Linked DNA regions of Struthio camelus. The protein of the gene in region 3 interacts with the protein of the main gene of each other region in a biochemical or structural test. Links are inferred from orthologs where the notes say so. Each region holds a gene or a part of one and is shown on either strand. Other genes may lie near its edges. The genes, in order: NR2F1, GTF2F2, GTF2B and GTF2E1.

What was found.
Region 1: the proteins of GTF2B (region 3) and NR2F1 form a complex in vitro, tested with the Homo sapiens proteins (2 studies listed by BioGRID and IntAct). The link is inferred for Struthio camelus from reciprocal best matches to the Homo sapiens genes GTF2B and NR2F1.
Region 2: the proteins of GTF2B (region 3) and GTF2F2 form a complex in vitro, tested with the Homo sapiens proteins (2 studies listed by BioGRID and IntAct). The link is inferred for Struthio camelus from reciprocal best matches to the Homo sapiens genes GTF2B and GTF2F2.
Region 4: the proteins of GTF2B (region 3) and GTF2E1 form a complex in vitro, tested with the Homo sapiens proteins (2 studies listed by BioGRID). The link is inferred for Struthio camelus from reciprocal best matches to the Homo sapiens genes GTF2B and GTF2E1.

What each region holds. Positions count from the first base shown.
Region 1 is NC_090982.1:54,170,511-54,177,522, forward strand, and holds the start of NR2F1 (COUP transcription factor 1), read right to left. Parts: upstream 3,002-7,012; 5' UTR 2,923-3,001; coding exon 2,475-2,922; intron 1-2,474. UniProt on the Homo sapiens protein: Coup (chicken ovalbumin upstream promoter) transcription factor binds to the ovalbumin promoter and, in conjunction with another protein (S300-II) stimulates initiation of transcription. Binds to both direct repeats and palindromes of the 5'-AGGTCA-3' motif.
Region 2 is NC_090942.1:190,907,469-190,915,244, reverse strand, and holds the start of GTF2F2 (general transcription factor IIF subunit 2), read right to left. Parts: upstream 3,017-7,776; 5' UTR 2,815-3,016; coding exon 2,749-2,814; intron 1-2,748. UniProt on the Homo sapiens protein: TFIIF is a general transcription initiation factor that binds to RNA polymerase II and helps to recruit it to the initiation complex in collaboration with TFIIB.
Region 3 is NC_090949.1:19,992,608-20,000,583, reverse strand, and holds the start of GTF2B (transcription initiation factor IIB), read right to left. Parts: upstream 3,004-7,976; 5' UTR 2,746-3,003; coding exon of another isoform or gene 2,716-2,745; intron 1,033-2,715; 5' UTR 898-1,032; coding exon 850-897; intron 527-849; coding exon 423-526; intron 1-422. Other genes in the region: KYAT3 (kynurenine--oxoglutarate transaminase 3), read right to left, coding at 3,768-3,830, 5,303-5,389, 5,831-5,904, 6,892-7,078, 7,718-7,807. UniProt on the Homo sapiens protein: General transcription factor that plays a role in transcription initiation by RNA polymerase II (Pol II). Involved in the pre-initiation complex (PIC) formation and Pol II recruitment at promoter DNA.
Region 4 is NC_090942.1:92,867,736-92,875,491, forward strand, and holds the start of GTF2E1 (general transcription factor IIE subunit 1), read right to left. Parts: upstream 2,936-7,756; 5' UTR 2,734-2,935; intron 2,398-2,733; coding exon of another isoform or gene 2,352-2,397; exon of another isoform or gene 2,277-2,351; intron 2,114-2,276; exon of another isoform or gene 2,003-2,113; intron 1-2,002. Other genes in the region: RABL3 (rab-like protein 3), read left to right, coding at 2,352-2,397, 2,936-3,027, 4,391-4,520, 7,530-7,644.

The DNA.
Region 1 (7,012 bases), on a different chromosome or scaffold from region 3:
ACAAATCCGCCCCCCGGCCCCCTCCCCTCTCGCAACAAAAGGCAACCCCGCACATAAAAAAATAAAATCAAAGAAATCCTCCGGGTGGTAAGAAAGTGGGGTTAAAAATCACAGCCAGCTGTTAAAAATATAGCCAAGCTCTGTTGTGTATTCCAGCCGATTGCCCTGGTAGCACTGAGATTTACAAGTGAACTGCTGCGTTGCTTTTCTTTCCTTTTTCAAATCATAAAAAATAAATGCGTCCATATTCTTCAAAAATATCACATCATTACCCTTAAAACTAGACCAGGTCACAGCCCCCCAGCTTCCCACTGCTAACTTTATTACACAGAACAAGCTTTCCATACAGGACCCCCCTCCCCCGCCCAGCAAAGTTCGCCCTGCTAAAAGGAAGAGAAAGATTAAATATTGTCAAGGGAAGGGGGAAAATAAAACAAAAAGGTCCGAACTTACAATAGCCAAACATTCGTGGAAAAAAAAGGGGACGGTGTAATTAATATCTTTGGTGCGCTGTTGCCACTGCAAAAGCCTGCAGTCAGCGTTGCACAGTGAATGCACAAGCTTGCAACTGCAAAAACACTGGATTCATTAACCATCTCCACACAGAGCGTAAGCATGCCTCGAGTCCCGAAAGCTGACCAAAGTTTTTTTTAGTGTGTGTGTGTGTGTGTGTGTGTGTGTGTGTGTGTGTGTGTGTATGTGTGTGTGTGTGTGTGTTTCACTTCATCAGTGCCAGCGTTTTAAACCACATGCCATGTAAACAAAGGTAACTTAAGGAGAAGATACGGCTACTCAGGCTTATTTCTATATACACACACACACACACACACACGTACACACATGCATACACACACACACACACACACAGGCACACAGATAATTCATCTTTCCAGCATGCCACATTTTCTCAACTTTCTCTTTTATTCCAGCGTAGCAGAGCACGTATGTTCCCCACCGAGCCCTCCACGTCTCGCGGGCTGCACCTTCCTCTTTCTGCCCTCCAGCCCACCTCTGCCTCTTGAATCTGCTTTTAAACTTGGCAGTTATTTTTCAATTAACTGCAAGCACAATTCTAAGTTTGTTGGTGGTGGTTTTTTTTTTCCAGACGCCTACCAACAACCCCTGAAGCTACCAATGAAGTCGTCATATTTGTGAGCTCTTTCAGATCTGGAGCAACTCCATTTCTTTTCTTGTGGCATATAAAATATAATTTTAAAACCAATTAAGGCAGTAGTAATCCCCACTCCGCAAAATCGACTAGGTCGCTGTGACTCTAAGATATCTTTAACGATAGTCACAGGATAAACTTTAACTGTAAACCGAGAAATACTTTTCGAGGAGAAAAGAGGGCAGGAAATCTTCCTACGCGAAAATAAGCCTTAATGCGAGGAAAACCGCAGCAACTCTTAGAAAGGAGAAGAAAAATAAATAAATAAAGGAGCACTTGGAAATGGTGAGGAGCCCACTGCCAGATGCGGACTATGAATTCTGCTAAAATGAGAAGGATCGGTAAATAGGTTATAAATCGCAATTTGTATGCAGGCTTTAAGGAGAGGGTGGAGTTTGATGAAGAAATAAAATGAGCAGCGTGCTAAAAAAATGACAGAAGTACAGAAACCCGGTTCAGTCACAAACTTTCCTTTGAACGCATGGAGTGAAAACAAGGCCAAATCTCACACAGAAGCACACTCCAGGGCACTGGGAAGCACAGGGAAGCAGAGATACAGTAGCACATTTCCCCCTCTTTTTTTTTCTTTCCTACTTACACGTCTTTCATCTTTCTTTCGGGAAAGATGAGGCTGGGAATGGATCTACCGAGAAGTGTTGTGGGTTTAAAGAGAAATGATGGGGCGGGAGGGGGGGAAGGAAGCTGAATGGGAGCACATCTCGTACAGAGATGCATCTCCCCCCACCTCCCCCCCCAGTCTCATGCCAACAATAGACAAAACCACATCCACACACACACACACACACACACACACACACACGGAGATAGCGGCTAAATGATAAATATTTAGTGAGCGATCATAATAATAAATTCTCAGCACAATGAGCAGGGAAGGGAAGAGTGTGGCGGTGCTGGGGAAGGGGGTGGGGAGGAGCAGGAGGAGGGCAGGAGGCACAAACCAAAAAGCAAAAGAAAACACCACCAACCACCATCAACAATAACAACAAAACCTGGTGCAAAGCTGCCAGATGGAGTGCAGGCACAGGGAGAGATTGACATGTGCATGTAAATACAGAGAGAGACCTAGATCGCCACGGAGAGCTGTAAAAATATATATATGTGTGTGTGTGTGTGTGTGTATATATATATGTATATATATGTGCTTGTGTGTGTGTACGTATACACACACACACACACACTCACACACTCACTCTCACACACTCGCACATACACACACACACACACACACACACACATATAGCCATAGGGAGAGAGAGCGATAGTATAGTAGGGAAGAAATATTCACCTTCCCGCCTCATGCCCACTTTGAGGCACTTCTTGAGGCGGCAGTACTGGCACTGGTTGCGGTGGTGCTGGTCGATGGGACAGTTCCTGTTGGCACGGCATGTGTAAGTTAAGTTCCTGCGGACGCTCCTCTTGAAGAAACTTTTGCAGCCCTCGCAGGTGAACTGGCCGTAGTGCTTGCCGCTGGATTTGTCCCCGCACACCACGCACTCGATGTGCTGCTGGCTCTGGCCCGAGCCCTGCTGGCCCGGGCCCTTGTCCCCGGCCGTGCCCGGCGTGGAGGGGGGTCCCGGCTGGCTGGGGGTCTGCGGGGTGTGCGGGGCGGCCGAGCCCCCTTGCTGCTGGGGCGGCTGCTCCCGGGCCGGCTGCGCTGCGGGGTTGGGGCCGCTCGGGGTGCCCCCGGCCACGTCTTCCTGCGGATCTCGCCAGCTGCTAACTACCATTGCCATATCTCGGGCCCAAAAAAGTGCTGGGGAGCGGCGCTTCTCGCTGCGGGCTGCCGGGGAGAGAGGCGGGGGGCGGGGGGGAGGCGGGCGGCCGGGCGCCGGGGGCGAGCGGGGAGCGAGGGGACCGTGCCTGCCGCCTGCCGCCGCCTCGGCTGCCGCCGCCGCCGCCGCCGCCGCCGCCGCTGCCCTTGTGCCGCCGCCGCTGCCTGCCGGGGCCGCTCCTGCCGTTTTCTTTATTTTATTTATTTTTTCCGCGAGCCCCCCTCCTCTCGCTCGCTCGCTGGCTAATTTTTTTAGGGAGGGGGAGGGGGAGATGGAGGGCTTTTTTCGCGCTCCCCCCCCTCTTAAAATACCCCCGTCTGGCTATTTCCCCCCGTCTCGCTCTCGCTCTCTCCTCTTCTTCTTTCCCTCCCCCCCCCACCACCACCACTTCAAGTTGCAAAATCAGAAACGGCAAATAAGGCTGTCGGGAGAGGCATTCAGGAGAGTAACACACCGGACACACACACACACACACACACCCGCGCGGCGCGCACACACACACACACACACGCACACGCACACGCGGTCCGAGCGCTAGGAGTGCAGAGGATGTGCAGACATAGAGGAAGCCGGAGCGCGGAGGAGGAGGAGGAGGAAGAGGAGGAGGTCGGGGCCGCCGCTCGCCGCCGCTCGCCGCCGGGGCCCGGCCGCCGCCGCCGCTGCTGCCGCGGAGGCTCCCGCCGCCGCCGCCGCCGCCGCCGCCGCTGCCGCCGCCGCCGCCGCTGCGGGCTCTCGGGGCGCCGGGCTGGCGAGGCGGGCGCTGGAGGCACGGAGAGGAGCCGGCTGCCGGCGATCAGGGCATGGAGGTGTCCGGGGGCCAGGTCCAGGGCAGGGCGCCGTCAGCCATTCAGGGCGGCAGTGCCGGGGAGCGCGGTCGAGGCGGGCTGGGAGATGAGACAGTTTGATTTTGTGTTGGTGGCGGTGGTGGTGGAGGAGGTTGCCGGTCGCTTCTCTTTCTCTCGCGCTCTCTCTCTCTCTCTCGCTCTCTGTCTCTCTTGCCTTTTTTTTTTTTAAAGAAAAAAATACAAAAAAAAATATCGGATGTGACTAAATTCGCAGAGGAGACGAATTCACGGCGAAGTGTAAAAATAGAGAATGGGAATAATAATGACACACGCAGGAAAAAGAGAGATCCAAAGTAGGTCGAATAAATAAATCCTCTTCTTTTCCTCTTTCTTGTCCCTTCCTTCTTCTTCTGTGAGAACACACGATGCTGGTTGCAAAAAAATCAGTGGAAATCGCCCCAAAAAAGGTTCTTTTTTTTTGTTTGTTTGTCTAAAAAAAGTATTTCGGGTAAAAACTCATCAGCCAGAAGCAAAACCCTCCCCCAAAATAAAAAAATAGACAAGAACGGTCAAAATAATAATGGTATTAAGATGTGAACGCGTTCTCTCTCTCTCTCTCCGGGCTTTTTTTCCCCCTGTCTCTCTCTCTCTTTCTGCTTTTTTTCTCCTTTTCTTTCTTTCTTTTTTTTTTTAGTTTCACCTCTCTCTTCTTCTCTTCTCCTGCAGGAATGAAGCGAAAGACACAAGGAGGAAGGGTGGAAAAAAGAAGAAAAGGAAGGAGAAGAGGGAGATGAAGGGAAAAAAAACAACTAATAGAATATGCAAGAAAGGAGAGAGAGCGAGAGAGAGAGGGAGAGAGAGAGAGAGAGGGAGAGAGAGAGAGAGAGAGAGAGAGAGAGAGACCCAAAAAATGAATGCGTTTAAACGGGAAGCCTAGCAGAGCAATGTTTCCGAAAGGGGGATCTGCGCGAATGTCTGTATATAGTGAACTTTGACACTACTATTGAAACTGACACGTTTCTATGGAGATCGCTGCCTTATATGGAGCTCATGTCAAGGAGCCAAGAGAAGGGCTGCTGGCAACTGATAATCAAAGGCGACTGACTGGTCAGAGCCCTGAATTGGGGGGAGAGAAAATGGGAGGCTAAGGTTAGCCAAGCCTCCTTCACTCCATTGGTTACCCCCCCCCCGGTCTTTTTTTTTTTTTTTTTATAATTCTCTGCTACCTACTGACTGGGATGGGGAAGGGAGGGGAGGAGAGGGGGGGGAGTGAGGGAGGGAGAGGGGGAGCGAGGGAGGGAGGGAGGGAGAGGGGATTCTTCTGACAAGCACAATTTACATTGAGATCGCCCTGCGCTGCTATTTACTTTGAGACCTGATTAGTATGGGTCGTCTATGGTCTCCCTCGCTCGCTCGCTCGCTCTCACACACCCATGCACACACATCAAAAGAGGAGGATGCATTGCGATAGGCGGAGAGGGGAATTAAAAGGGAACGATTTGGGCTCCCCGTGAAAAGTTTTTCATATTTTAAAATGGGATTTCTGTGTCTGTTTTCAATTGCAAAAACCAGGCGAGGGATTTTAATGATGGAGAAGAAAATATGCTTTATGCAGGAAGGGGTATATGTGTATGTGCGTGTGCGTGTGCGTGTGCACAGACACATTCACGTACATATTTACATCTGCATATACTCCTGTCCCACTTTGGGCTATTTTTGCTGCTGGTCTGTCTTGCTCTCATTCCTCACCGAATATGTCCACCCTCCTTTTATTATACTGCCCATGGCCCCGGTGGGGTTCACAGTGTCATGAAATGGGATCAGAAATCAACACCCGTCTTTGCTCGGGGAAAAGCATTTTTGGGGGTGGGGGGTGAGGTGGGGGAGGGAAGCGGCCGGACCAAACCCGAATGCCTGTGCCCGCCGTGCCCCCCCGTGTCACGCCCGTGTCTCCTCTTACAGAGCGCGGCTGGCCGCCAGGAGAGCCCCGCCGGCGAGTAATAAAAGCCCAAAAGTAAGTTCTGCGCGCGCCGCCTGCGCGGATCGATGCCGGTGAAGCGCAGTCCCCGGCGGCGGGGGTTGCGCGCCCGCGCAGGCCGGCGCGACGCGGCGCGGCGGAGGGGCGGGAGCGGGGGGCGGGCGGGCGGGCACGGCGCCCCCTCCGCCGTGCTGCGCCGCGCCGCGCCGCGCCGGGGCCGCGCTGCGCCGCGCTGCGCGCCCCGCTCCGCCCGGCGCGGCCCCGGCGCGGCGGTGGCGGCGTGGCGCAGCGGAATCGCTGGATCCGGCTGCCATCTAGCGGACAGGCACCCAGCCGAGCCGCTGCGCCCGCCGCAGCCACCGGCTCCCGCTCCCCCTCCTCCGCCGCGCACAAAGCCTCTGCCTTTTCTGAAGCAGTAGGAAGCCACAAAATCTTTTTATGGCTTTTTATCCCCCCTTCTTTTTTTCTTTTTTCTTCTTCTTCTTCCTTTTTTTTTTAAGTGACTGCACTGGGGAAAAGAACCCCCTTCTTTCTAGTTGCGTACCTCTCCTAGCCTCCTTTCTCACAAGCCTTCCTTCCCTGAAACCTCCCCCTTTCTGCGAGAGGTTTAAAATTCGCTTTGGGTCAGAAGACTGTTTGTGATAAAGAAGAAAAAAACTGCAAAGAAAAAGAGAGAGAGAGAGAGAGATGAGGGAGATTACCCTCCTCTTAGCTCCCATAAAAGTTTATAATCAGATTGGAAGCCGGGGGAAAAAACTGCAGGGGGAAAGGGGATGAAATATATGACAAAAGTTTTGTTGTTATTTTTTTTGTAAAGAGATGTTGCTTTCATTAAAAAAAAAAAGCCCTCAACTTTGACGTATCATGATCACAATTTTATTTTTGTGTCAGCTCTGAAATCTGAGACTGAGAGCCGGCTGGAAAGGAGAATCCTTCATCATTTCTGAGATCAGACTAAACGCTTGATTTTGTCCTGAAATAATGAAGAGATTTTCAATGAGCCCCTTGGCCAAGCGGTCTCTATTGTATATTGCATTGATAAAAAGGATGTTATTGACTATGCAACAGTAGGCTCCTTTCCTCTCTCTCCTTCTTCCCAAATAAACTCTCGGTCCTGTCTCTTGGTCAGTGAGAAGGTGAAACGAATAAGATTAAATCAGACAAAAAAGCGAGCTCCGTATGTATATCATCTAGATTTTACTCCCCAGACTGTGAAGAGACAGGGAGTAAAAGAGGCAGAGCAAGACACAGAGAGAGAGGGAGAGAGAGGCAGAGAGAGAGAGAGAGA
Region 2 (7,776 bases), on a different chromosome or scaffold from region 3:
CAATGCAGCAGATTAAATCAGAAGAAAACATAAGAATAAGAAATTAACAGTTCAGAGTGTGGCTAATGTTAAGTAGGCTTTACTTTACACACACGTGTATAACTAAGAATTCTGATAATATTTCCCTACCCTAGTTTTCCCTGAAAATACAGAAAAAAAACTATTCAAGTTGCTTTCTAGTTTTGTACAAAAGAGACTCACCCTATCTCTTGTACTTCCTCGTACTGCTCATGCTCCCAAACTACTCATCACTATGGTTTTTTATTGTCTGTTAAGTAGTCTCTCTGGAGTACTTCCTGGGCTAGCATAATACAGGCTAAAAGGAAATTAAATAAGCTTTTTTTTTTGGAGTAGATGTTATTGCTTTCTCCCTCAAAGCAAGGATAAATTCAGCCTAGTTATCCTAACTAGTGAAGAGAAAAAGTACCGTTGCTTCCAAGTTTAGATCCAGAGGAATCCAAAGGACAAAAACCTGCATGCACCTTCCTATGGTCTACCAACGGTATTGACTTTGGAATTTCTTTTTTTTTTAAATATGCCAGAAGACAGCCAAATTGTAAATTCAGACCATGTGCATGCATGGTTATGTTGAAAGAATATTAGACATCAACTTGGAAGAACAATAAATATTTAAGGGTTCTTGCTAGCCCAGCTTTCTCATTAAACTAGGCAGCATCCTGTGCTCACAGAACGATATCCCCTATAAGCACAGACATGCCTGAAAACTCCTGGCTCGCTTCAAAAATGACTAACCCATGCCAGACTAATAGATAATCAAGTTCAGTACCCTGTCTCCAACGTGGCCAACAGCAGACACTTCAGGAAGAGCAGGAAAACAAGAGAAGAACAGGTATTTCCCCACTACGCTCTTCCAATTTCTGCGGGTTTTGCCTCAGCACTTCTTGAGGAATGGGAACATCTCCACTTTTAATATCTCAGTACCCTTTTCTTGCATAAGTCGGCCTAATGGTTTTCTGAGCCTGTGCAAAGTTTTGATGTTCACGCACCCTACTGCAACAAGTTCCCAAACTTAATTATGTATTGTGCAAAAATGCTTGCGTTGAACCCCCACCTAATGCATCCCTAATTTGACACATTCCTAATTCTTGTGTTAAGATTGATTCTTCTCTATTCACCTTCTCCTTGCAACTCCTGACTTTATAGACCTCTATCAGACTTCCAGATCCCTCATCTTTCCAGCCTGGATTAGCATATTTAGGAGGTCTTTGCAGAGGCACGATTCCTCGTGTCTCTGATCATTCTTGTTGCCCTCCTCTGTACCTTTTCTAGTTCTACCATATATTTTTCACAATGCGGAGGATAAGAACGGAACCGTATACTGTATTCATGCTATATAAGGCTAAAATAATATGTTCTGTTTTGTTGTCTTTCTTTCCTAATAATGCCCAATGTTGAATTTGCTTATTTGACTGCCACTGACATGACAGTCGCAGAACTATCTTTATCTATTGTAAACCCAAGATCTCCTTTCTGAATGACAATAAGCAGATGAAACCCAGCCACTGTGCAAGTATAATAATTAAAATAATTTTTCTCTATGCATATCATTTTACTTTTTTCAGCTTTAAATTTCATCTGCCCTTTCATCAACCAGCCACTCTCGATCATGATATACTTCTGCAGCTTTCTGCTATCAGTTTTCATTTTTATTGTTCTGGGTGCAGAGTTTCACAAAACCAGACATTCAGGTATCACTATGAAAGAGGAAGCCAGATGCACTGACCTACCAGATGCACCACCACCACCACACTTGCTTTGCATTGCAGGACTTCTGAAATTCCCCACTATTTTTTCAAGAGCCACAATAACAGGTTTTGGTAGTTGAAGAAAGATGCTGTCACACCCTTCCCACCACCCAGAACCAATATTTTGGTCCTCCCCTGTCTCCATGGGTTCTCTCATGCTGTTCTGGGCCTGCTCAAGTGGTCCCCAAAGGCAGAAGAGAAGGATGTTACCATTTCTTCCCAAATGCTGGTCCAGAAAAATGGGGGTACCCCTACAAAGGACCAGAAGGAGGCCAGGGCACATACTCCCCCAGTGGCTAGCGAGCCTCCTCTTTCCTGAGCCAATGCTAGCTTGCTGTCGGCAAAAACAGTCAAGTGATTTAGACAGATGGACCTTCCAGAAAATAAGGCTGATGCCTAGGAAGTGATGGCCTACTTAGTGTCAGCACACACAAAACTGGCCCTGCTGCTCAAAAGGTGCTTGTTTTGATTCGATGATCTTTACGCCAGCGCTCTCTTCCCTTTCCCACTGACTCTGCTAAAGCTTCTCTCCTCAAAGGTGGGCTGTAGTGACAGGAGCAACATAAAGAACACAGAAAAGTTCCCTTTGGTTTTTAGCCAGGATATAAACTTGGAAGTTCTCAATTTCATAGATCTGAGGGAAAATAAAAGTTAGAGCACCTTACTTATGATCCTTAATAAAACTAAAAGGCAGTTCTTAGGTCACCTGCTTTTCCTTAATTCACCTCAGCACCCACCTGGGAAGCGCTCTCTTGCTGAGTCCCCGCCACCCCAACCCTCTCCCCAACGAGGCGGCCGAGCCCCAAACACGCAGCGCCCGCGCGGCGCCCCGGCTCGCTCCCGCCGCTTCCCCGGGACCCCTCAACCCCCGCCGCGGGCCCGAGGCCCCGCTGCCGCCCGGCCCGGCCCGGCCGGGGAGGGCAGGGCAGGGCCCGGCCGCCACAGGCCGCGCGGGGCCGGGGGTGCGCCGGCGGCCTCTCACCTTCACCAGCCACATGCCGGTGTTCTGCTTGGCCCCGGTCAGGTCCAGCTCGCCCTTCTCGCTCATGGCGGCGGCGGCCCGGGCAGTCCCCGCCGACCGGAGCGGCGCCGGGCAGCGACGGGAAGGGAAACGGGTGCGCGCGCGGAACGAGCGGGGAGGCGCCTTCCTGCTCCCGCGCTGCGGGGCCACCGTCCCCCGCCGGACGCAGATGGGAACCGCACCGCGCCGCGCGCAGACGGTGGCTCGCGGCGGACCAACTTCCTCCGCCCGGCGTGGCGTCAAGCGCAGAGGGGGGCGGGACTCCGGCTCCGCGCTTGGCGGAGCCGCGGGTTCGAGTCCCCGGGCCGGCGGCCGTGCGGGGGGGCTCCTAGGCCGAGTGTGAAAATGTCGCGGGGAGGGGGGGCAAAACGGGAAAGGCCAAGGCCGTAAAGGAAGTGGGCAAACGAGGGACAAGAAGTGATGGTCAGAGCGAAGGAAAATGATTCCCCGCGTTTGTGGTACAAACGTGACCGAGGAAGCTGGTGGCTCTCCCATGAGCCGAGGAATAAAACTGTCTGAACATGCCTCTGACAAAGCTGAACTGCTTAAAAACTGCAGCAGGTTACCTGGAACAGGACAGCAACCCCGTTAGCAGTTGCGGTAATTAAAAAATAAGGTACTAAGCTGAGATAAAGCTGCGTGGTTTCAGATCGTCCTGTCCCACCGAAGGTGGTCCTGGCTCATGAAATCTGCCATCGAGAGCAATTGCAGTCGCCCAGGAGGGTGGGTGGGCGGGCAAGCGCAGCCCCGGGCTTTAAAACAGGGGGAAGGGACGGTCACAGACCTGCACACGTGGCTTCGGTTTCTGGAAAAATATTAGATCTCTCAAATAATGAGAGAAATTATTTGAAAGGACCTAGAAGAAAACAGAGACGAGAAGCGGTTAAGATGGACTGGTGAAGAGCAACATGTCATACCAGTCTGATTTCCTTCCGTGACGGGGTGAAGTGACAGATGTCGAACGTCTCCACCAAAGTCAGACTTCTGATATTAAACCCTGTGACATTTTGAGAAGCTATCTGGAGAAATCGGTCTAGATGAAGCTGCTATCGATTGATGAAAAGCTACTCGGAAAGACCGTGCAGCGGGAGAAGTTATTAATAGATGACTATCAAAAAGAAACAATATATGTGTGGTGCTATCCTCGGTCTAACTTTGTTGGGCAATTTCATTTTTGACTTGAATGATGAAATGATACACTGGAGGATGCTTATTAGACCTGTAGATAACATGAGGCCGGGGAGGGGTTATCGCAGCAGGGTGGAGAGCAGCGTTAGCATTCAAAATGATCATTTTTGTGACTATTCTCTCATCCTATGCAGATGGAGGAGGTCCTGTCCAACTCCCCTGGCTACCACTTGCTTCCCTTTCTGGGGTTTTGCGATGCATACCGTGCATTGGCACAACTGATGGGACAGGGCCGGGCAAGAGGAAAAAGGCATCGGTAGCTTAAGCCTGGGTTGAGACCAGATGCTTCATAATAGGACACCGCAGCCTAACGGTGGCGGGGGAAAAGGGGGGGAAGAACATGTTAATAACCTTCACATATGGAAAAAGGACAGATGAAAAGGGAAGAGGGAAGTTTGTTCGCCATATCTGCTGTGGATAAAAAGTGGAGTATTAGGCCTAGACTTCTGCAAAAGGACACTTACTTCAGTGAGCAGCAAAGCATTGGAATAGGTTGCCTGAGCAGGGAATGGAGTCTCATACCCTGTGAAAATGTCTTAAGTCAGGGTAAAAAAAGCATCTGCCCAGTGCAGCTGGCTCTGCTTCGAGACAAGGCTAATGGACTTAGATAGTCTCTGTATATCCCTTTTAGCCCTATTTTATGATTCTGTTCCTATCATTAGGGAAGTTTTCCAAATCTCTAAACTAATTTTCCCTTGTTGCAGTTTAAGCTCATAATTTCTTGTTCTGCTCACTGCGTGTGTGGAAAGCATTTTATTACCTTTCTCTTTGCAGTTGCCCTTTACTGCTATGTGTCCCTGTGGTTTCTCCCCGCTGCACTGAACAAACCTAATTCATTCCATTTGGTCTCCTAGGTCATATTTTCTAGACCTCCAGTCGTTCCCATTGCTTTCTGAATTTTCTCCAGTACTAGTTTACATCTTTCTTGAAGTGTGGTGCACAGTAACAAAGCTCATACTCTGTCTGAGAGTACACCAGCATCAAGTAGAGAATAGTTATGGTACGACACGCAAGATCTATCTCATGTGGCTTGCAGAAAACAGTCTCAGTATTACGTCTTGGGTATGATAGTCTTGCTTTCTAATTATAGGCAAACATCTAGGTAATTAAAGAGGTTTCTGCATGCCCCATCCACGTCCTCTCATGCCAGCCTTCAGCCTATGTGCCATTCCCTACCCTGCCACAAAACAACTCGATGATGGATCTAGCAGAAATGAGGCACTCAGCACATGGCAGAATTGGACCTGATGCGATTTGTCCCTAGGATAAACAGTGCATTAACGACAAAGTTATCCCTCTGCTCCGAGTTTTAGCTCAATCTGCATGCTCAGGGCACACTTGCCACCACTTGAAAAAAAAGAAAAAAAGAGGTGGAGTGAATTTTTCCAGCACAAGTGACATTTCCAATAACGCAGTGTCACGGCTGGTTGGTTCAGCGCACGTCACCTTCACACCGGAAGACCGGCAATGAAAGAAGAGGAATGCAGCTTACCAGGGGCGCAATTGCACATAAAGGCAACGTAACTAACCAGTTCGTGACTTGCTAGAGAAGTTGTTCTATGAGAAATCAGCAGTCTTATCCAAGGCATAAATCACAATAGAGAAAACATCCCTAAAAGCCTGGCAATTTCAGTGGCTCAGCTGGCAAACCGGAGCGGAGAGCAGCGAGGCAGAGATTTCCTTCTCTGCTACTCCCTCCAGGCAGCCTTGCCAGACCTGTTTCCTTGGAAACTAAATTTAAAGGGACAACAAGAAGGAAAGGAGGGTTTTCATTAGTTCCTCATCTGAAATCGGAACCTCATGTTTGCCACTGAGATGTTTAGCGCTGTGGCTGAGGATCCGGGGGCCAGTTGCCGAGAGGTGGAACTGCGTGTCAGTCACCAGTTTTGGTCTTGTTGGCATGGAAGGAGGTGTGAGGTTGGAGGACATAGATGGCAAGATTTAGCCTTGCAGAGCCTTCCTCTCTCCTTTATTCACTCAAGGAGGTGAGACCAAGAGGCTGCAACGCAGTCAGCAGGTGCAGACAGTTTCTCTTAAACAGTTTTAGGAACTGCCCAATAGCTGCAAACTGCCAGCTCTGATTTAAAAGCACCACAAAAAAAAAAAAAAAAAAAAAAAAAACAGAGGCATGAAAGGCCTGATATTGTCCTGTTGAGGTCGATGGGAGTTTTGTCATTTTTGTGCATGTGCTTCCCTTGAAGCCCAGAGCAGGGCAGATGCTCCCTGGAGCGGGCGCTGGTCCCACCCAAGCTGTCAGACGAGGACACCGCCAGACAGTTTTAGCTGAAAGTGCTTCTCAGGAATAGGACGGAGTGTCCAGAGATTAAAAAAAAGACCTAGTGGGAAAGGGAATTGCACAAGAGTGCTATAACCACCAGGCCATGTCTTTTGTGGGGGAAACCTGATTTTTGCCGTGACACCTAGGCGTTATCTGTAGCTCCCAGGTCCATGTGCGTTTGGTGGCCACTCTCTGGGTGCCTGCTGGGGATGTCAGTCGCATGCATACTGTCACCATTCCCTGACTCACTGGCTCCTGCGGGAAGGACAGAGACCTGGATATGCGGGCAAATGCTGCCCGGCTTGTCCGAAGGATGGTACCAGCACAGCAGGGCTTCATGCAACACACCTGCTGCCTGGCTTACAAGCAGCCTCTCCCTGCCAGTGAAACCAGATTTCAATAAATAGAATTTCTGGCCAACAGATGTTCCTTTCTGAGCAGTGCCTGTCTAGAGGCCCTGTAGGAAAGAACAAGACAGCAGAGAAGCTGGTGAAGGAGATGTTCTTGGACAGCACCACAAGAAATGTGGCAAGCGAGGGGTATGTCAGCCTTGAGGGGACATGTGGCCTCGGTCTCCTTCAGCTGCTCTTGACTCAAGAGCTCCACGTCCCTGTTGCCAGCTTCAGATGATCTCCTTGGTTGGTACGGCCAGCTGTGGGGGCTGACAGCATCAGGCTTGGGCAAGAGACACTGAGTGCGATCTGGCTCTTGACCTCCAGTTAGGCCTGGAGCTGAAGCCAGCTCCTTGCTCGTGATATTAGTTGCGAGATGCTTCAACATAGTTCTTGTTCTCCACCTGACATGAAGAAGTCATGGGATGATGACAGTTCATAAATATGGGAGATGCTGATGAAGACTACATTCCTCTGCATTTTTCTTGGTGTAGAGAACTCCCTGGGGAAGCAAGGCAGGCTGTGCACAAAAGGAAATAAAGTGGAGCATATGGTAATTAGTGTGCTATGAGCTCATACAGCACAGAGATCCATAAAGTTCTTTATGCAGATGTCCCCAAACCTTCTCCATCAGGTAAAACAGCAGATGACAAGCAGTTTTCATATGCCTGATCAAACAAATCAGCTGTAATAACACAAAACTGCAAGTGCTGAATTATATTAAGCAGGTGCGTGTCAACTTGTATTTCAGCTTATAAACGAGGCAGAGTGCGTGCATGGAATTTTAACAAGAACGACAGCATTTTGGTACTCTGGTGCATGGCAACAGAGGAGAAGACCCTTCCTTTGAGAGACACAAAAATGGAGCCCCAGCCCTTCCTGGCTTCATTTCACCACTCTGCTGCCAGCGAGTTTGCAGACCCTTTGAGCTTTATCACCTTCCCCATGGAGGATAAGTTAGCAAGGTGTGTTTCTGGCATGAGGGGCCATGTGAGGAGCAGAGGGACGGAGGCTCCTGGATACCATCTTGTGAAATTAAGTTAAGCACTAGAAAGACCCTTCCCGCCTTGACAGCTACAGCTGCCTTCTTGTTCTAAGACCTTGCACTTCAGACATGTGGCCAAGCTAGCC
Region 3 (7,976 bases):
GGAATAAAAGGAAGCTGAACTATTAGAAGATGAAGCTTCTCTTTTTCCATTTGCAATGCCCTTTTTCACAAGGCTCAATAAAACCAAAAGATAAAATGCTAATAAAAAAAAATTGTTACTATCAATGTGAATACAGCTTGCTATATTAAGAAGTTTCCCTATAACCTCTGAAATGTGTGCGTAGCAGTATCTGCAACAGATGTGCCACATCAGCACTGTCAGTCCCATGAAGCTTTCCACGTTTGTCTTGGCTTCTCATATAATCTATTCTATAAAACAGATCATCTGCTGACAATCACTGTCAGCAGTCGGTCCCTTCCGACGCTGTTCTCATTAACTAGAAGTGAAAGGGTTTAATTTCCAGCACAGAAAGACAATCATTTTCAGCACTGTTGGAAAAAGTATGATAGATCATATCTCACCATTTCTTTATTCTCTGTCTGTAGCAATTTTTCCCAAGTTCTTTGTCCACAAGCAGCCAAAAAGTGGTTGATGTAGCAGATGGGAATACCACTATTAACCGTCTCTGTCAACAACACATCATTTTAATAACTTACAGAAAGTTCACCTTGCTGTGCCTAGCTGTACTTGTTCTTTCCCATCACTACAGTTACAACAATAACCCCACTTTAAAACTTATTTTTTAATTGCTCATTCTGGAGCTTTTTACAATTTCATCCAAAATATCTCATGCTGGCTACTGTCAGTGATAAATAGATAGTTCAATTGCAGTTCTCACATTATGAATATTACCAGCATCATTCCAACAATATAATGCAATGGGATATTCAGATGTCTTCATGAACACAATGAGGAGTACACTAATGAAAACAAGTCATCAATTCTTACTCGTATGTATAAAGATCCTTTGTAATGGTTTGTTGATTTAGCCAACATTCATTTTGTTAAAATAGCAGATGTCAGTCAAACGCCTCAAAGGAGCAAATGAAAGAAACAATAAATAGCCAAGGCAGCTGAATTATGCTTGGTATGTTAATTCATCTCTGTGCTGCATCTTATGTATTCAGACATCTGATGAAACAAAAGGATTAGCACACTACAGCAGCTGGACAAAATAGGCAAAAAGAAATCAAAGCTAAGTGAAGTCTAATACAGTGTGTCCCGTAACATCAGCAGGGCTCTGGAATTATACACTATGCAGAGCTATCTTTAAACCTGGGCCCCCTGTGTCTCCCCTGTCAGATTCAGTGCTTTAGCACGTGAGTTATTAGCATGCAAGAATGAGGTATTTAAAATGCTACTGTTACTGAATGTAACAATGGAAAAACAGGTATATTTTGCTATAATTTTTATAATTTCCTTGGCAACCTTGCCTATAGCTTTTCTTTCTTGCATATATTCATACAAAGACCGACTTTACACAGGGTGTCCCATTTGCCAATGACAGTAATGCAACAGTAACACAAGCCATGGTATTAACAGTAGTCAGTGTTGAAACAAGTCTTTAGGAAGCAATGATACTTCTTTACAAGGCAACAAAAACACTGTAGAGAGAGGTGAATGGAAGCAACTTTTATCACTTCACTGCTGTTGTGAGGACCCATAACACAATTACACATATGCTCACATGCTAACACGCTATCTCAGGGAAATCTTAAACTGCAGAAATAATAATTTTAAATAATAATTTTTAAAAATATTAAGTGGATTGTGCTTTGTAGCTGTTATCAAGGCAAGCATGGTACAACGATATTTAAAACTCCCTTTTGACATATAAAATGATGATGAAAATTATATGTTGAATTTTGTTGAAATTATATGTTGAATGTTGAATTGCATTGCAAGGCACTTGTTTCAAGGACAGGAAGCTAAATAACAAATATTTTATTATTTTGTACTATTTAAGAGGCTAAGTCATTAGGAAATTTTGATTCATATTATCATATCTGAACATATGTTAGCAAAGATTTTTTTATTTTATGAGAATTCACTTTGCAATGAAAGTGGCAGGTGCCTTAGTGTGACATTCTACTCCAAATGGCTTTTGGAATGGAATATTTGTGGAGTAATTTCCAAATAAACCAGTTGTTTTACATATCACCAACAGAAGCATTTCCCTTGCCCAGATTATCACTCAGCTCAACGAACTGACACAGTGTCCTCTAGTTCCTGCAACAGCACAACTCCCCGGTGCACTTTACACAAAGAGATTTTAAAGGTCGTGCAAAATACAGTGTAGATTTCACTGAATTTTACTGTTTTATAACAATAGTTCCTCCTGGAATTTATGGGAATTTATTTAAGAATTTCCCTATGACATTCCTGCTGGAATTTAAGTTAAGTCATTTTAATTACCAAATGGATATTTTACACAAAGACTACAAACCCCTGAAAAATACCAAGCAACCTTTTTCTGTTAAGGTTTGGGGGATGGCAGTGTATGACAGCTAAACAGACAACACAAGTCCCAGCTACTGGACTCCCAGAAGTCCAAGGGCAAGAAGAGGTACTGACATGTTTAGTCAGCAGAGGCGTAACAGCTGCTATCACAGTCCAGTTTCCATACAACTTTTTTTAGCCCCTGGCCACGATCACAGACTGATAGAACTCAATTAGACTCCAGCTATATGACTACAGAATGAGCAAGGCAGTTGCAAAACTAGGTATTGAATTTGTTCCAACTTTTCCCCAGAAGGCCTGTGGGAAGAATGAAAAAACACAGAATACAACATACATCCTTAAAAGGCGACCTACCTTGATTGCTTCTGCTAGTGGGAAACCCATCCAGAGATGAAAAGGTCACACAGCTCAAAGAGGAAGCAACTAGAAAGGATTTCTCCACATTGATCTCTTCTGAAACACTCCCTTATCCATCAAGCTTGAAATAGTCCTAGTTAGCTGAGCTCCATAGTACAGTATTTGGCCCATCTCCATGCTTCCCCAAGCATGAAAATAAGCACTGAAGTAAGTTTGGTGTGAAGTTACTAACGGTTGTTGTGAACATGCAAAAAGTGGAAAAGGAATTACAGGATTACGTATGTCACTGTACGTTTGATTGTGAAGGAGCCTCTAAGGCAAGGTGTTTTATTCTGCTTTGTAGATTCATCTATTTAATAAATATTATAGGTATTCTAGATGCCACTTTTAAAATTTTTTTGGGGGGGGGGGGGAACGAATGCCTTCAGAACAGTAAACTTGACTAATGTGGGAAAATAAAATACTAATTATGCAGCTCAGCACATTTAGAACTTGCCTATATATAAACACTGCGTTGATTTAACTCAATCACTTTATTTAACTGATACAATTCATGCATGGACAGAGTAGGTAGGTAGGTAGGTAGAAAGTCACTGCAATTATCTAATCTGAGGCACGTCTTAATTCTCCTCCACTGCTGGCTATTAGGTCTCACAAACCACAATGTTTTAAGTCTTACCCCTAGTTTCTATACGACTTCACACCAAAAACACCTCCCATTTTTTCCTTGTAAGTCTTAAAATACCTATATGATGTATTCATTTTACTCAGAGTACCAGAAATCTTTGTTTTTCAGTGAGAGAGGTGGAGCCTGTAGATTATTTTGGAAAAAGGTCAATCATTTTGAAAAGACCTCTGAAAATAAGCTCTGAATTGCATTACACGCATTGAGTAAATCATTGTTTTAACTCCTCAGCAGGTGGCAGCACAAAGTTATTTACAATGTCAAATTAATTCTGTACTAAGTAATTTGTTCTTAAATTTGCAAGAAAAAGTCCTAGTGTAAGATTATACCAGACAGAAGAGTTGATTAAAAAAAAAAAAAAAAATCAAGCTATCTTTTTATTCCAGTTCTTCAGGATGACTTCAGCTGCATCTAGTGTGCTGTCTTTCTGCAAAACAAGGAGTACTACTATTACTGTAAGTAAAGAGTTCTTGAAAACAGAGTAGCAGTCATAATTATAACATCTGAAATCAATATTTGGCAGTTTCGTTCGCATCATGTAAATATCCCAAACAGTCAGTTCTCCATTAACATTTATAGCTACAAATCTAGACAACACCAAGAATTCAATGTTAATACCCTGCAAATATTTTTCAGGTGTATTTGCTAAAAATAGAGCATATTTTTCTCAATATTTACATTATCAAATTTAATGAAAGTGGATACTTTTTACATAAATGCCTGGCATTTATGCATTAATGTTCTTGACCGCTCTATATTAGAAGCATGCTAGTCATAGTTTGCTAATCTTTACAATTAGGATTTTTAAATTTCCATGCAACCAAGCTATGCTGTGAACTACTTAAACATAATCCCTCTAAATATGGGTAATCCATCCACTGGCCAGTTCTGTGGCTTGGCTACAGCCGGTTAGTCACACGAGTAGCCTTTACCTTGGCACAATTAGCGTTCTTCATCCTGAGCAAGCCACGTTCACAACGAGCAAGTTTCATCCTGGTTGTTAGTGGCTCAGTTTATATCATAGTCTTTATACCTCATCTTAAGAACTAAGTAACACAAGCAGAAACTCCCTTTCATCAGTGGTTCAAGCTAAGGCTCTGATCTGTACATGGAACAGTTAAGGGGTTGGCATATGTGCCATTATGCCGATTCTATGACAGAACAGTAAGACTAAGATTTTAGGGAAGTATGTCTACCAAAGTTTATGTAGCTGCCTCCAACGTTTTTCAGTATTTTCAAAAACAGACCCAGCAAGTGGGTGTAACAGGAGGAAGAAGAATATGGGAAGAGGAGGTGCTCACAAAATTACAAGAGTCTGCCAGTTTACAATTTGTCAATTCTGCCTCCTTTAAAAAACACTGAAGATTCCTTTTTATGTCTTTGTTTTTCTTTGTGATTTGGAGCTCATTTAAAACTGTATGTACGTTCAGGTAAGTGAGCTAAACTTGAAGCTCACCTATTTAATGATTTGTTTTGTTGTTTGAAACTGACTGCACATGGTGTATCCCTGTCTGCCATAGAAAGGAATTATTCCTTACCATGGATTATAGAATTCATCTTAATAGATAGCATGAGATATCTGTGTCATCCACTCTCATTGTCACCACTGGCCAAGAATGTTTTAAAAATCAACAGAATAAGCTAAAAAAAAGCTTACCCACCCAGCTGTTTTCTTCGACCTGCCCTTCTTAACCATGCCACTCGCATTTAGGACTTAAAGCCCCTCAGCAAAAAGATAGCTGAAGCTACTTTGTGTTTAATTTTACATCAAGCTAACTTTCTGCTGCTAAAATCACAAAACTCAGGAGATCCTGTGAAAAAAATGTTATAAGTAGCCTGTTGCAGATTTTTATATTCATTGATTTTTATTTTTTGAATCTTCCTGGGACACAAGTTTACCTTAATGAAGCAAAAACGTATGTATTTTTCAAACTGCACTTTTGTCTGAGGACCACAGAATGCTGAAAGAGGAATTGCTGAAAGTTTCTGAAGCATAAAACGGAAATATTATTTATTATACACAGATGAAAAACCAGTTTCACACATGACGATTTTACTATCGAATTTCCTAGAACTCTCCCTCCCAACATTCAAGTGAAATACTAGGCTGGATCTTGCACGCAAAGCTACGCTTAACTAAGTTCAAATCACTTTTTTTAGGCAAAACAGTTCAAAGGTACTTGTCTACAACTAGCATTTAAGCGTGCAGAAAGAACAAAAGTTGAGACTTAACACAAACCTACAGAGTACATTTTCAGTACATTCAGCAATATTTTAGTCACATCATTTCCAGCAGTTAGCATAAATAACAAATAATATTTTGAACGTAGTATTTCTACTCCATTATTGCATAAGTACAGTTACACTTCTCTTGCTTCCAGTAGACAAGCATTTCTAAAACTTCAGAGTATGACAAAGACACCTTACCTTAGATGCTATCATCCATTTGACAAATTTATAATCATAAGGTTGATTCTCCTCCACATCAGAGAGATCTACATCTAAAAAAATTAAACAGAGAACAAACAAGATCTTGTAAGACTTCCTAGCCTCCAGTGGCAAGGCATTCACTAACAGCACTTCAGTTAATACTTAAGAATAAAGAGGTATGCTTTTATTATAAAATATAATTAAAAAAAGTTATAAAGATTAAACCAGGCCAACAGATGTACATCTTTCCACTCTGACCTGAGCACTCGCTTTCCATGCAAAGCAAAATCAGAGAAGTAGCTTGGGAGAGAACGATGCAATCCCCCAAGAAGTCATCAAGTCTGGATGACTAAGGGCCCTGGAGTCTGGAGAGTACTGAAGTGTGTCCTTTTTGCACAACATGGACAGCAATAATCACTGCTACTGCTGCAGTTCTCTTATCTGTAAAACTAGGGTATCTATAATTTTCCGACATCCTGGTAGGACTGTGAGGCTCAGCTTTGCTTAAACGTTTCTGTGTGAATGACAAGTGCCATTAAAACCAGTCAGTGAAAGATATCCAACAAAAATCCACAACCCTGATGGAATTCTTCCTCCAGAGGTAGCATAGCCTGAATTTCCAGAGAGATCTGTAAATGTTGGTGAGATTTGACAATGTTTAAAAATCAGAATGCGTTAAAGATAGCTCAGCATTTGACTGCAGCTTAAGGGGAGAAAAAAAAAAAAATAGAAAATGGGTACAAACGCAGGATATTAAGCCAGGTACTTGGCTCGCAAATGTTTCCATAATCAAAGACCTTTCAAAAATAGAAATGTTTTTACTGTTTCCTTTACTTTTCCTATTTGCACATCCCTGAAACCTTGCAAAAACTTTGCAAGGTTTTGCTGAAGCTTGTAAAATTTACCTCCAGGCTAAGGTCAAACAGAAAATTTCAGTCCCAATTAGTACTTCTGACAATGTTATGAGAAAATGAAATGAGAACATAGTTTAAAATGGGAGTTGCATTTTCATCTTAATATTTGTTTCCCATCCCCCATTTACTAAACCTTTTACTAACTTAATGTAGAAACATCAACAATCATAAAGTATCCTCCATCTGGAATGACAGGCTTCAGTCCAACTTCTCGAAGTAGCTGAGCCATCCGATCACGCTTGCCTTCCAGCTCTCGAGACAGTGAGTAAAAATAGCAGTCTGGGTCATCCATGCGTTTATAGTCTATCCAAAAAGCTTGTGCCAAAGCCTCCTGCAAATACAATGTTCAAAGTACTCATGTACACTCGGTACACCCATGGACACTCAGGCACTTCCTACTGAAATCATGTGGATTTTGCCTTGATCTGGCTCTCATTAAGAAAATCAGCATATTGAAATTAGACAAGCTACATCCAAACGTCTAATTTGTTTGCTTACTTTGTGCTGTGGTAACACCCAAAGCACCCTACCATTTGCCAGGCACTAATCATACACAGAAGTCACAGTCCTTGCCACAGGAGTTTACAGTCTAAATTGAGCTAAGTTTAGTTTTAATTATTGATAATAATATATCACAGAGCACTAGTAAATAAACTGTGATCTAGTTGATAGAGACAATTCTCAGCAACCCAAAACCTTATTGCACTAACCTTTATTTATATTTGCTAGGAAACCACTGGTATTGTCACGTTTCATGCAAGAAGGAGCAGTTTACGGATGAATGAAGAAGCAAGACTCTGGTCTTTTTTCTAAATGTTTGATCAAATTTGTGTCCTCTTCCAGTACCCCAAAGTATGTATTTTGACAACTCAAAATTCATTGCTATGGTCAGTATTTTATCATGGTAATACCTACAGGTTTATGCCAGGTGCTATATGTAAATAACCTCCTCCGCTCTATCTGTACCTACCTGTAATGGAGTTGGGCAAGTATACAGTGTATTTTGCTGAACAACTTGCAAATGCTTTATCAGATGCTGGGGGCCAATAGACCAACCAAGCTAAGGGAGAAAACATGCATATGTTATACTTGCAGCAATGGTGTTACTAGGAATTAACAAAGAATAAAAGTTAGCAAATGTCTCAGTGTTTTCTATTTTAAGAATTGGTAGTCAATTTGTTTCAATAAAGAATTCAGTAAAGAGCTGGTTTACACAAAGGATGCTGAGT
Region 4 (7,756 bases), on a different chromosome or scaffold from region 3:
ACACCATTAACAAACAGTTCACAGCTGTAGGACAGCTAGGGATGTGGAAGAGTGAGCTTTCTCCGTGTGGTGACAGAGGTGTTAAATTGACTTAGCTGTACTGTGAAGCCCTAGAATATTTTAACAGTGGATATCAGGATATCAGAAACCCATACAATTCACAATGCCATTTAAGTACATACCAGGGGAAGCACAACCACTATTTTGGAGACTTCTCAGCATTGGTCTGCACATAGCAAAGTGCTAGGGTTCTTTAGGTGGGCTTTTTTTTCCTCCCCCCCCCTTCCTTTTTTTTTTTTTGAAGGGAAAAAGATAAAGGTATTCTCAAACATATCAAGCCTAAGTCATGATTTCAGTATAGTTGACTTAACCCACCATCCCTCTTGAAGTTTCTCAGGGGAAGGAAGCAATAATCCTTCTTAGCATCCTGGGTTCAATGAGAACTGGCACATCATGCTTGGTACCAAAGACTATACGCCCAGAAAGAAAGTGTCTGACTTTAAGGAATTCAGGAAAAAAGTAACACAAACAATTAAGGAACGTGTTTGGAAAAGACTTAGCTCATCAGGATATAGCAAGCTAATAACTCTAATGTACCTACTGGGGATGTAAGCGATAAAGAAATAGAAAATTAAGGAATTAGAGAATATCTGATTAGCTTTAATTTCATATAATTTCTCCATTAGAAGAGCCTTAGGCATCCTGTGTGAGAGCGTGCTGTAAATAGTATCTGAAAGGAGATGGAGGGTAGGACTGAAACTCCCATCAGCCCTTGCTGCTGCTGGAAGGGAACTGGTACACTCTCAAGCACATGGCTCTGCCCATTCTCTTGCACCAGTTCTGACACTCACAAGACCCTTCTGCGCTCCAAATTAACCAACTACCATAGCAGAAGAAAATTTTTTTTAAACTAGATTTGTTCTCTGACATTGTAATCAGTTGAATCAGCTAATGGAAAGGTCTGATAAGCAACAGAAACAGCAGATGCAAGAGAATGCCACTGCAGGGGAAGAAATGAGAGGCAACTCCACCTTTCAGAGGTGGAAAAAAAATCTTAAGTTACCTGTATTTCATGGAATTGTATCTTAACTGGGCAATGCTGAACACTTCTTTCATAAGACACACTTTCCTCACGTATCCTGAGCCACTTGAAATGATACCATTAAATGAACCTACTTAACAGCTCACTCCTGTTGTGAGATGCTCACCTGCCCTTCAGGGAACCATCAACCTTGCTAAGCCAAGAGAAGACCAAAGTAAGAAAACCTTGCAGGCCTAGAGAGCTGAACGGCTTCATTGTGGGGGCTCAGACAATGGTCACACTTGACACAGGGGGATGAGGTTAAAGATATCCCCTTTAACAGTAGCAGGCTGTTGTCTCAATACATCCATCTCATTTCACTGCACCCCAGGCCTCTTGCAGTGCTAATTACTCCTTGGAGTCTATAATCCAGCAGCTCCCCTCAAATTACAAGTCACACAGACTTCCTAAAGTATACTAGGCCTTAGCATTGGCCTAAGCTTTTACACCCATGCTAACCAGAGAAGCCCTTATACTATATGCCCAGCTTCCTACCCTCTACACACTTCTGCGTGTTGAGTTTTTAAACGGCCGGCTCTGTAGGTTCCTCTACGACCGGAGACTCGAGGGGCTCAACAGTATCTCATAAAGGGCGGGGGGGGGAGGGGAATACAAGAAAAGAGGCAGCCGCCGGTTTGGGGCCGAGGGCGCTGGGGAGCAGCACGGAGCCCCGCGGGCGGCACCGGCGTGCACCAACCCCACCAACGGCACCTAAAACAGGCGGGGGGGAGGGGGGACCCCGGAGCGGGGGGAGGGGGAGCGAGGCGGGCTCGCCCCCGCCGCCCGGCCACTCCCCGGTGCGCCGCCGCGTGAGCCCTCGCCCGGGACCGCCACCCGCTCCGGGGAGCCGCGGGCGGGCACCGGGGACGGGGCGAGGGCGGCCCGCTGTCGGCCGGGGCCGGGGCCGGGGCCGGCACTGACCTGCCGCCGCCGCTCCGAGCTCTCCCCTCTCCGGGCGGCGCTTCCGGTGACTGCGCGAGGGCGCGTCACAACCGCGCGCACGCCTGTGACGTCACAAGGCGCCAGGCCCCTGCCCAACGGCGCTGCCCGCGGGGCGCATGCGCACTACGACGTGCTGCCCGTGGCCGGGGCAGAAACCGGTACTAAGCCCGCTGAGCGACAAGGGAAAGAGCCAATCACAGAGCTCCAGGGCGTCCTAGTCGCTCGGGTAAGCAGCCAATGGGCTGAGAAAAATGAGGGCAGTGTGAGTTATGATTGGGGGCGTCGGGAGAGGGCGGGACGCTCAGGGGCTGTTGCTAGGTAGAGTAAGATGGCAGCTTTGGACCGGGTCAAGGTGCTGGTGCTAGGCGACTCCGGTGAGTGTCCCTCCCCCTCCCGCACAGTACGCGCGCGCACAGCGAGGGCGGGGGGACGGGACAGTTACACTCCCCCTCCCCCCCAGGCTCCTTCCCAGGGGGAGGGGGCCCCCCTTCCCCGGTGCCGGGGGGCGCGGCCGCTGCTTCCCGCCGCCCTCCCGCCCAGCGCCGCCGCCTCGCCCTGACGAGAAACCGGCCTCGCTCCACCCGCCCGCGGCCCTTCTCCCGGCCCGCCTGCGTCTCCGGAGACGAGCGGTGCCAGCCGAGCTTCGGCGCTTTGCTCCTCCGTTTGCCCCCCCTCGCCCCGGCTCTGTGCCGCGGCCGTTGGGCACTGACCGTTGGCCGTTAACGGGCGCCTGGCGCGGCGGCCTCGGACTCGCCTTCGAGTCAGGAGGGACTGACGGCGGTGCCCTGGCCGCGCGTTGCACAAACGCGGTGGTTCGTTGAGGGCTTCTGTCGGTTATCTCGCCGCCTTTTTAGCTGTTTTTATCCCAGACACGTCCACTGATCGGGTGTTGTTCTCTACATGCGTTTGCAGGTGTTGGGAAGTCTTCACTAGTTCACCTCTTATGCCAAAACCAGGTGTTGGGGAATCCATCTTGGACAGTGGGCTGCTCGGTGGATGTTCGAGTAGGTGATATTCCAGGCGTTTTTTTTTTTTTTTTTTTAAGTACACATAATTTAAAATGCGAAAGAGGAAATCGACCTTGTTTCCCAGTGTTGTGGGCTTTTTGTTACAAGCTCAACTCTCAGCTGGGCTGATTCAGACTTTCATTCTTCTAAGGGATGTAAATGAGCTTGAACTTAAATAAGCTTGAAAGCAAGATTCTTAGATTTTTGGAATTTGATTCCAGTCTTTAGTTAATTTGTTGTTTTCATTACTTTGCCCCACAGAAAGAGGTGTGTTTCAGTGTTTTGTAAAGTTGAAAACTGTTAGAAGAAAAAGTATCAAATATGTGCAGAGCACTTGTGTGAGCAAATTGTGACTTTACAAGATTGCTAACTAAAGAAGCAAAGATTCTTGTCATTCATAGAGCCTCCTTATCGCAGTGACCACTGAAGTGTTATAAGTTGATGAGCAGCCCATTTAAATCAGAGGATACAGAACTTGCACTACGCTTCCCTGAGAAACAGTCAGTGCACAATTAAATTGTCAGCCAAACATTGGAGAACAGAATTGGCTGTTTGTTTGATTTGAGGATTTCTAGCATGACCATGGGATTGCTTCTGTTGCAGTCTACTCATCACGGCGCCTAGTATCGGGGGACTGTGAGTTTACTCATCTGGTAGTTTTTGGCCTACCTGCAGTCCTTTTGGGATAGTGATAAATGCTTCCTTCCTTCCTTGTATGCAACATTCTCCCTAAAATGCTTTGCGGTAGCTTAGGAATGATCCTGTCCTATTGTCTAGGAGTTTTATCTCAAAGAATGCCAAATTATATTCCCAAAATTTTGGGAAAGAAATGTTGCAGTTGTATTTGACTGTGGAGCAAAACTACGCAGCAAATCCTGGGAGGAAAATTGCTATTTGATTAATTCACTTGACATGTCGATGAGAATTTAGGAGTAAAAAGATGTGGTCAGTCTAAATCTGGTGTAGTCAGCCATGCTAATATTCTTAATTATGCAGTATTGTCATGTGATTTTTAACAACTGCGAGAAATCACAACCTCATCTTTTCACCTGCTTTAGCAGCACATTGTGTCCAAGCACTCCATGAGTCATTAGGTTTGCTAGTGTTTAGGAGGAAAGAATGTTCCCTGCTGACTCACCAAGCTTCATCTCTTGTAGGAACTGCAGTGACCGCCGTGGTCGTTGCCTGACTCAATCCAGTCAGTCCTCTTCTACTTGAGAGATTTCAAATGATGTCAGTGTTAGAATTTACGAATTTCTGTCCAAATGCAGTAGTCATTGCAGCTGAATGTTTAAGTGTTGTGTGGATTAACTCCTGCAAGGTAATGCTGTGATTACGTATGGTCTGAATTTTCCATCAGATTCATGACTACAAAGAAGGGACTCCAGAAGAGAAGACCTACTATATTGAGCTGTGGGATGTTGGCGGTTCAGTGGGCAGTGCCACTAGCGTGAAAAGCACACGAGCAGTATTTTATAACTTGCTGAATGGTAAGTTTGCTTGGAGTAAATCTGTTTTTGTCACTTTCTGCTGTAAGCTGTCTCTTGGCTTTGGAGCAGGATTCCTTGAGTCTGGCTGAGGGCTGTGTTGTTCTCTGTACTCATTCCAGTACATTTATACAGGAACGAGTGATACCATTCTTCAGCAGAATTTTATGGACTCAGTTTTGAACTGGAAAACTATTTCAGGCAAGCCTGTGCAAATGAGCTTCATCCAGCATTTTACTTTGTGTCACTATCCCAGCCTTGTGCAACGGGCACGACAGGGGATGTTTGAAGTTGCAGTGGTGTCCCTTCCAGCTATCCTTGTAGATGTGAGAGCTGGTTTCACCTTTCCAGGTCTAATTCAGAGACTTAATTTATGTTTTCCTTGTCTGTTTGGTTCCAAAATCTAAACCAAGGAAAAGTTTACTGCCCATAAAGCACGTACATGAACTTTGATGGTTATGTCCCACCCTGGCAAGTTTGAACAGATCTCCCATAACATTGCAAGAATCTGATGACCGTCTTGCCCTCTGTTCGCTTAATTTGGCAAGTGATTTTTAGTAATTAATTCTTGCAACTTGCTGTTAATAGAAAGATAGATTTTATGCCTTGGAAAATATGGCATCCCTTCTTTTGAAATAGTGACCTGTAGGTCTAGTAGTTCATCTGGAACACAGAAGTAGCGTATAAGATATTATGAATATAGTATTTAAAATGCAGTATCTCATTAGATACTATCTAGATACTAACAGGTACTATCTATTTGACATGCAAGGACAGTTCACTGAAAATAAGAGTATGCTAGGTTAATGACTACTTCAGAAAACTTAGTCCCGGATGTTCTATTTCGATTCTCATTTCTTGGTCATCATCATCTGAGGGCCCTTCATAATTATGATTATTTCCCCTTTCCCAGGAGAAAAATTGTGCGTAGGTGCCTTTTGCTTACATTATACAACAAGACCCCTCTAAGTAAGGCTGAGCTGAATTGTGCCCTCAAAGCAGAGGCCTTAAAGCAAGCTGCTTTGGTGTATAGAAGAAGTGGATTTCTTTTTGGCACCAAATCCACAATATTACAGTTCGTGTTGGTCAGACTTGGAAATATCCTAGAGCAGCACATGAGGAGATGAAGTTTTGAACTTTTGTATCTGACTTCTAATTGATGGAATTATGAAAATTGGGTTGCTTTATTACCACTGCCCGAAAGACATTAGCCAGTTCACATATGAAAATTGTAGTCTCTGGTAGTTAGCCTTGGCTCTAGTTTCTTTCATTAGATACATTTCTTCATTAGAGCTTGTCTCACAAATTGCCTCTCTTTGACCTGATGCGAGAAGAGGAGCGCATTACTTCTGCCTGACTGCTTGTCCTTTCTGGGCTTGCAGTGATCTGAGAAGTCTGAGATCAAAAGACAGTTAATGTTTGGTTATAGCAGCATCTGTGCAGACTGTCAGGGAGACTTGGTTGCTGAGGAGGTGAGGTATCATTCACTTTTGGTATGGCCACAGATCATCAGCTTTCATGAGCCTGCATCTGTTTTGTGCACGGTGATAGTCCGAGACAGTGAACAGGTAGCAAGGCTGTGGTTTTCAGACATTTATGTAGCAGGAACAATAGTCCTTGGTCTTGTCTGCTCTTTATTGATGTTGACACAGTCTTTTCCGCCGGTCCAACTACTTGTGTAGTTTTGAGCGAGGCAAGTAAGGAAACTGACCAACGAAAAGTGTAAATAGGGGAGAGAGGTCGTTATTTAGGTCAAGGATGCCTGAAAGAGGAGGAATTTTCTTGCAAGTTATGCAGCAGTGCCTCTGAATCTGTTGCCATAAGCCAATTTTTTTTGCATCAGGCTTTCTCTCTCTGTACTGGGGGGTGGACGCAAGGTCAAGTTGCTCTTTTTCTGCTAGTACTGAGATAAAGGCTTTGAAAGAGTGATACTGTTGTGACATGTTGGGGGAGGTGCTCGTTTTCTTGTAGAGTTCTCATAGGAGTCTCTGTGCAAAGTAGTGTGGGGTAGTGGAGAATGCGGCTATGTGGTTTGCTCTTAGTGTTTACAGTGGGTGGCATCTTTGGGAGGTAACCGATGAAAGATTAAATGAAATAAATTTTGTACACCTGTGGGCTGTGAAATGTGTATTGAGAACAAATCCCGATAGCGATGAGAGGTATAATTGCATCTTATCCTTGAATAAGTGATGGTTTAAAGTCTGGAGAAAGTGGGAGCATTCCACAGGTGGCAGAAGGTGTGAATAAATAGAAGATATTTGCTAGCAGGAGTTGATAATTGAGTTAGGAACTCTGGTTATCAGAAGTGGGTGTCTGTTAACAGCACAGCTAGAAAGTTTGGCTGGCAATTTTCCTATCTCAGGATTTACATTTTGAAGGCTCACGGTAATGAAAAATGCTAGAAGCTTTTTCTTGACTACATGGAATCGTATTAGCGCGTGTTCTTACCAAGCGTTTGGTGGACTGTGAAAGTTCATCAGAGCCTATTTCCCCTTTGGATACCTCCACAAGTGCATGGCATTAGTTCTTGAAACTGTGGGAAGGTAATAGTGCTCTGTAAACCCTTCAGAACCCACCCAGCCCCAAAACAGCCTTTCTGTTTCTTAGATTGTGTGACAAGAAAAGAGTTGTGTGTTTACCAGCTAGGTAGAACAGTGAAAGGCTGAATTCTCTGCTGTGTTAATACAGAGTTTCAGTATCATTAGGATTACATTATTAGAGGATTAGAACAGAATTGGGGAATGCCTGCCAGCCTGTTGCAAATTAAAACCTAAGATGGATGTTCTGTTCCTCCTTTCCTGGGTTTTTCTTCTTATCCAACTCCTGAGAAGGAGCTTTAAAAAACTGCTGCATTTTCGTATTTTCACCTTAACTCATTCCCTGTAGTTCAACGAGTTATCTTTCCCTGTCTTAGTTCCCAGACGTCTGGGAACCTGCAGGTGCCATTTTGATAGGAAAAGGAAAAACTGTATATCATGAAATAGCATCTTGCTGCCTGCTCTTTTACTTTAGGGATAATTTTAGTGCATGATTTAACCAACAAGAAGTCATCCCAGAATCTGTATCGCTGGTCTTTGGAAGCACTCAACAGAGATGTCGCTCCAACGGGAGTTCTAGTGACAAACGGGTGAGTGAAAAGCATACTTGTGCTCTATGACACAATGATTCTAGGCTGTTTTAGAAGTATTCGGTCTTCCCTAAGCTACTTGAAATCCATAGGAAATTAGAGAGGGCTAGAC